Macaca fascicularis: one gene and its partner. The protein of the gene in region 1 interacts with the protein of each later gene in a pairwise test. Links are inferred from orthologs where the notes say so. Each region holds a gene or a part of one and is shown on either strand. Other genes may lie near its edges. The genes, in order: LNX2 and PTCD3.

What was found.
Region 2: the proteins of LNX2 (region 1) and PTCD3 interact in binary tests that used the Homo sapiens proteins (3 or more experiments, as listed by UniProt). The link is inferred for Macaca fascicularis from reciprocal best matches to the Homo sapiens genes LNX2 and PTCD3.

What each region holds. Positions count from the first base shown.
Region 1 is NC_088391.1:7,541,568-7,545,392, forward strand, and holds part of LNX2 (ligand of Numb protein X 2), read right to left. Parts: intron 137-3,825; coding exon 1-136.
Region 2 is NC_088387.1:35,456,383-35,460,207, forward strand, and holds part of PTCD3 (small ribosomal subunit protein mS39), read right to left. Parts: intron 2,240-3,825; coding exon 2,124-2,239; intron 10-2,123; coding exon 1-9. UniProt on the Homo sapiens protein: Mitochondrial RNA-binding protein that has a role in mitochondrial translation.

The DNA of each region.
Region 1 (3,825 bases):
TACTATCAGAATGGTTGTGTGCTCGGTTGCCAAAGCGCCTCTCTCGAAGCACAGTAAGATGCAGTGTGTTGCACGGCTGGGAAAGGACAGCTCTGGCATAGTTATGGGACACGTTGCTGATATTGTAGTTGTTGACCTAGAAAAAAAGAATTGTGACAAAACTGTGACAACCTTTCATTTTTCCAATTTGTAGGAACGTTTATGTAACATTTCCAAGGGACACTAAGTATTGTGAGAGTGCTAAGTATGGTGAGAATGCTATACAATCATTATTTACAAAGAAAACCACATTAAAGACATTTAAAAATAGAGTTTCTAATATTAACTTACATTGATTAGCATCAAGGAGACAAGAGTAGCTAGGATCACGGGCTTTAATGACAGTCTTGAATTAGAGTCCTAGGTACTATCATTTAGTAACTGATAACCTTAGGCAAATTATAGAACTTGTCTAGATGAGTCTTCTCATCTGTAAAATATGTTTTACTTCATGGGATCAGTATGAGAATGAACAGATCAACATGCAGCAAGTGCTAATGAAATAAATACTAATTCTAGTGGAACACAAATTTAAGTTTTACTAGATTACAAATTTGCTTTTACCAAATTAAATACACTTAAGCTAGAGAAAATAAATTGTTATTTTAAGGAAAGTAGCACATTCCAGGTATACAACCTTATTTTAGATAAGTGACTTTTACTTGAAAGAAAACCAGGTTAATTGTAATTTCACTCTAATTCCTCAGCACACAAGTATTAGGCTGGTGCAAAAGTCATTACAGCTTTTACCATTAAAAGTAAAATAGAATGTATATCTAATGCATTATTCAATACTCATATAACATTTATGTATCCACCTTTATAACCTTGAAAAAAGTATAGTGACTGATCCTTGGATATGTAACAGCACTTAGAAAATACACCTAACTTCAATTATTTCTTTAGTTACAAGAGATGAGCATGATTCTTAGCATTTATCACAATTAGAGTTCTTCTCTGAATAGATCTGAGATGAAACCAACATCCTCTGACCATCTGTTATATGACAGGCTCTGAGTTAGGTGCTTATGATCACCTAAAATTCTTAAATCTTTTTCACACAAATCCACATTAGGCAAGACTCCCCTCTTCCTATTTACTTAGGATTGATAGTTGTAAATACTACTATTTTGAATTTTGTTGATTTTGACCTATTAACATCTTTCAGAATTCAATCACCAAATGCACAGATGTCACACACAAACTTGCTTTCTCCCAAGTCTGCAACATCTATGAATTTGGTAGTCATCCAAGTCCTTGGTAAAAGTATTGAATAATACAAGGTCAAATGGAACTTCTGAAGTTCTATTATATTTAGAAAGCAGCTTCTAAAAATCCAGGCAGACATAGATACATTAGCTAAACCACCATTTCCAGCTATTTAGCTAAAAAGCTACCCTACCTGTAGGTTCACATTTTTCTATCTTACATTCAGACATATCACACATATCACAAATGACTTTACAAAATGTCTGACTAAAATCCAGCCATGTGTAAACCATGCAGCCTCATCACATCTTTGTGAAGCAGGCTGGGGAATATTCTACAACTGGAAAAATATTTTTCCTCCAGGAATGCATGGTTGCCGGTGAAATTCAGATAAAGCAAATAAAATATTGTTTCTAGATTTCGTAAAAATAACATCAACCCAGCAAACTATCTCATTTTTGAGCTAAATGTGTTTTTTTAATCGATACAATCAACAGCTGTAATTATTTTCCTTCAGAACTGAAAATGCCTACATTACTGATGACTTCATTAAACTGAAAATACTTATTCTTAATAATGTTCTAAGTTATATTACTTTTATTAATAATAATGATATTGAGGTAATTTATAATAGCAGTATTTTTTTTCTTCAAAACTGCTCAAAGAGGCTGCATATGAAACTCTAAGAGTAGCAAAAGGCTCTGAGGGCATATGGTTCTTCTTTTCAAAGAGGCTATTTAATAATGTTTGTGTATATAAATAAATATATATAAATATGGGAAAACCACCAAAGCCATACACACTGCTTATGTATATGGTCTGCAAAAATGAAAATGCAAGCTAGCTCTCTAGTCTGCAAATGAACCATCTTACTGCCTCTTCAAAATTTTCAAACTGGCTCACTGTGTTATATTTATTCAGCTTATACAAAGTTGGAGGTAACCAAAGAGGCCTCCTTCCAAGTGTTTACTTTTGAATAACCATAACTAGTCCACATGTGGGAAAGGGGAGTGGCTTTATGTATTGGCTCCAACACACCAGTTAAAAGCCAATCAGAAGTCAGGGCCTATAACAGGAGAGACCCTTTGTGAATGCATTAATCAGGTTATGTGCTCAGACCTTTCTTATCAATTTGAATCATTGAACTAGATGTAAGATTGCCATTAGTGGAGTTATTAGTATACAGGTTACCGTAAACAGTAATAATGCAGTGGAATTTCTACAATGTAGACTTTATAACTCTGAATTAATTCCCAAAAACATGGTTGATAATTTCAGATAATTATAATCTTTTGAGGTCTAAAGATTCAGTTGTGTTAATGAACCATTCTCTAAAATAGAAACGAGCCCACTGATGAAATGTATTAGTAAAAAAACTTAAACGAATCTCAGTTATATTCAAAGAAATATAAATAAAAACATTTGTTTTTACTTTGAAAATTAAAAAAGAGAATGAAAAATGTATAAATATGGTAACAATACTGGGCTAGTAGCAAAACACAAAAATAAGTGTACATTTACATTTCAGCTAAAAAGGCCAGAAGAGGGAGAGTCAAAGAGCACTCAGTGGGCTGCAGAAAAGGACTATCTGCCTTTCCTGGTCCTGACCGCCAAAGTGTCAAGACGTCTGGGAGGACGAATCTGGGAAATGAGTTATAAGAGTCCCTCTCTGCAAAATCAAGTCAGGAGCTAGGACGTAAATAATACAAGGGGTCCTACAAGTTGTGCCAGCCTGTGCAGCTAGAGTACTAATATCACAAAATGCAGCTAGGATAACTAAATAGCTAGCTATGACTGGATCAGGAATCTGATTTTATATAAGCTGGATTAGTTATATTCCTGTATTCCTCTATTATGTCTAAGTATTTGGTAAAAAAAAAAAAAAACAAAAAAAAACACTGTTTGAAAGTTCAGTCTGTCTCAGCCACGCTAGGGGTAACGAAGGAAGGGTTTTGGGCTTGATATTAATTATTTTCAGGAATAATACACCATGAAAAGCAGCATACAAGTGGGAGTGGAAACCAAACCCAAGAATCCCTAGTAGGGTCAGTCCTGGCTGCCTTTGTAGCCTCCCCCAGACCCAAGTCTAGAGATTTCTTTTCAAGAACTAAAAATCCTAACCAAGTTTTCATTCTAATAAAGGAGATGGCTATTCCCAACAGCATGTTCTATTCAAATTCACTCTTTTATTGACTCAGCAAGTATTTTCTGAGCACTTATTACAAGCTATGAGAAATCTGTATCATAATCTGTACCATTAGGGTGGTTGCAATTACCTTAGATCATGCCTACATACATAAAATGTTCAAACAATTCACTGTAACTGAGCACGTGCCAAGTGATGAAGAGTAAAGTGATGAATGTCAATAATAACTAAGGTAGGAGGAATCAGTATGGGGGAGAATGACTGAACAAAAAGCTTTAAGGATGAAGGTGAACAAACTGGCGCATGAGATGAAGACAGGCTGCGATGTGGGAATAAGGTGTTTGCAGGAAAGGAAGAAGACTGCTATGTCTGGCTCTTCCACTGGATTGTATGTTCCATGAGGACAGGTCAGTATTTTGCTCTGAAATGTA
Region 2 (3,825 bases), on another chromosome or scaffold:
TTCCTCTTCCTGAAATGAATAATCATCAAGAGAAATAAAAGTTAAGGTGATGGAATGCATTTCCCAGACTACTCAAAATCAGAAAGGCAAAGGGAACTCAGAAAAATAAAGAAAACACAGATCCAGCAGATGGCAAAGAGGAAGTCCAATAACGCTTACACCTATACATTTAATTTCTTAAGTGCAAATCAGATGAAAAGCCAAGTTGACCCTCAAAGCAACAAGTGACAGCGTGGAGACAAGATGAAGCCATTTCCCTGTATGGCCTGGTCCTCAGATAGAAAGAGGAAAACCAACCAACACATCCTATTTGCTCAGGGACTACATCTGGCTCGATCCATACAGATAAACTGTCATAATTAGGGTGAAACCAAGATAAACAACATATACTTAATGTCTAACACTCACCCAAGCAAACTAAGACTTCTATTTTTGTTTTTGTTTTTTTCCTGAAACAGTCTCGCTCTGTCACCCAGGATGCAGTGCAGTGGCATGGTCTCGGCTCACTGCAACTTCCACCTCCTGGGTTCAAGCAATTCTCCTGCCTCAGCCTCCTGAGTAGCTGTGACTACAGGCGCCTACCACCATGCCTAGATAATTTTTTGTATTTTTTTTTTAAGTAAAGACGGGGTTTCACCATGTTAGCCAGGATGGTCTTGATCTCCTGACCTCATGATCCACCCACCTTGGCGTCCCAAACTGTTGGGATTACAAGTGTGAGCCACTGCACCCAGCAAGACTTCTTACAAGACTAAATCTTGTCTTTATTTATAAACCAAGGTCTGGGATGAGGCTGACATAGAGCAATACAGGCTTGGTTGGCATTGCAGAGGTCAGTGCTGGCTCTGTAGCCTGCTGCCTCAAGAGGTGGGGCTGGAAAGGTAGAGGGCCAACCAGAGCAGGGCTTCAGGAAGTGATGCTCTGGAAAGTGAAGTGTAACTGCAACCCACTGCCTATGCACTTTTTAAAATGTAAGGTTCTCTACATAAACAATCCACATTTGGCCAGGTGCAGTGGTCAGTAATCCCAAAACTTTGGGAGGCTTGAAGGACTGCTTGAGTCCCAGCGTTGAAGACACCATCCCGGGCAATACAGCAAGACCCTATGTCTACCCGCCCTCCCCACCTAAAAAAAAACTAACCAGGCGTGGTGGCCCACACTTGTGGTCCCAGTTACTTGGGAGAATAAGGAGGAACACTTGAGCCTAGGAGTTAAAGGCTGCAGTAAGCTATGACAGCATCACTGCACTCCACCCTAGGTGACAAGAGTGAGACCCTGTCTCTGGGGGAAAAAAGAAATCCACATTTAGTTGGGCAAAGAGTAGGAAAGATAGAAAAGAAGAAAAACACCAATAATCCCATCACCCAGAAACACTTTTTAAATGATTTTTTTCTTATGCATTTGTAAAAACATTTTTACAAAAATGGAATATATACTGCTGATAGCCTGTTTCCCACTTATTGGATGAATCTTTCCATACCCAAACACATCTACTCTAATGTGCTCAATGGCCACACAACTTTTATCATAATTTGATCATCTACTGTTGGACATCTAGATTGTTTTCAACATTTTTACAAGTATAAACACCTCCTTATGAAAAATGTCACATGAGCATCTCTATTTGACTGATCCAAAGGATTTCTTGAGACCTAGTTCTAGAAGTAAAATTCACGAGTTGAGAGAGAGGCTATGACTCAACTTACAGGCAGCCCCCCGCACACTACTGTTCTGTCTCCAGCCTAGTGTGTTCTCGCCTCTAAGTCCATGTATGAATTTTTGAGGGGGCCCAGGCCATGGAGTCTTTACCTGGCCAGAATACATCATGTTATTACTCTAAGTGACACAGGCCAGCCCAAACATTTCAGATCAACGCTTTGCCTTAATATGAGGTAGGAGAGGACAACATATTGTTAAAAAGTAAACTAGGACAGAAGTAACTGTTTAAAATCTCTCTTCTTCCTGTACCACTTTTTAATCAAGGCTATCGTACCACACATCTCAGTACAAATCTCTTACTACTACCCTGACACATGGCAAAAGAACCCATCTTATTTTTAAAAGCGATTTCTTCAAAAAGAAGCTTAAGAAAAAAAAAAAAAATCAAGACCAACAGTTGTTACCAATTCTTCTGACTGCTCAGTTTGTTGAAAATGATAATCAGTTGAGGGCTCCTGGTCACCATAGTAACACAATAAATCCAAGAGACTATTTGTTGTTTCAAGAGACACAGTGGTTCCTGTGGGTAGAAACAGAAAGGGAAAGAAACCTTGAAACAATGAAGAACTAAAGCCTGTTAGGTGAAAATGCTTCATTTTTTAATATTGGCTGTGGTCTTCACGGCTACATACTTAATGTTGTCCACTACTTTATGCACTCAACGTCAACTTAAACACCTGGAGTGACATAGACAGGGACATAACCCCTGTTAACCATGTAATTTGATGTAAAAGATTGGAACACAAGATGAAGTTTGGGCCTGTGCTCACTTATTTTACGTACTCATTTTTCTCAAGCTAGTTCATGGTTTTAATTATCATCTCCAAACTGAACACACTGCAAACTATTCCCACTTACTTCCCCCAGCCCAGGTCCATTTGAACAAATGCAAGTAGCATTACTCCATTTGGATCCAGATACTCACTAAAAACTTGCTTAGAAACACTAGCTGAATTGTCTAACTATAGTAGTCTCTTAAAAATTGTTCAAAACATTATGTCCCCATCTTGACACTCATTAAAAGCGCTAAAAAGGGAACAGGAGGAAGAGAAGTATGAGATATAATCTGCTATTTTACAAGAAAAGCAAATGTATCTTTTTGTTTGTTTTGAGATAGGGTCTCATTCTGTCGCCCAGGCCGGAGTGCAAGGACATCACAGCTTACTACAACCTTGAACTCCTGGGCTCAAGTGATCTTCCCACCTCAGCGTCCCAAGCAGCTGTGACTACAGGTATGTGCCACTGCGCCTGGCTAATTTTTAAATTTTTTGCAGAGATGAGGTCTCACTATGTTGCCCAGGCTGGTCTTGAACTCCTGGGCTCAAGCAATCCTCCTGTTTTGGCCTCCCAAAGTTCTGGGATTACAGGTGCGAGTCACCATGCCCAGCCAATAAATTTTCTTTCTAAACAAAATACATTGATAAATTTAAAATGAGTATTAGGAAATGTAAAAGTCCAGAAGAGAAAGCAGGGCAGAGCGAAGAGGGTACAGGCTATGGAGAAGCAACTGGTTCACACCATCTCAAAGCTATGAGACCCTGGAAAAATTACCTAATAATTACCTTCATAAGATTACTATAAAACACACCAATGAGGGCCAGGCGTGGTGGCTCACACCTGTAATCCCAGCACTTTGGGAGGCTGAGGCGGGTGGATCACCTGAGGTCGGGAGTTTGAGACCAGCCTGATCAATGTGGGGAAACCCCATCTCTACTAAAAATACAAAAAATTAGCCAGGCATGGTGGTGCATGCCTGTAATCCCAGCTACTTGGGAGACTAAGGCAGGAGAATTGCTTGAACCCAGGAGGCAGAGGTTGCAGTGAACCCAGATCGCGCCACTGCACTCCAGCCCGGGCAACAAGAGCAAAACTCGTCTCAAAAAAGACAAAACAAAAAAATAAAAAACACACCAATGAATAAGGTATTGTAGAATTAAGTATGTGAAATGACTAGCACAGTGTTTTGCACTTATTAGGGGCCTGATAATGAAATGTTCTAGGATCCTTTCCCTGGTATACTTAGTTACTGAGCTATGGGTCTGACACCTGTCTTTACTGAAGGACTGCACACACCTACCCAATAAAGGGGGTAAAACTAAAAAAAGA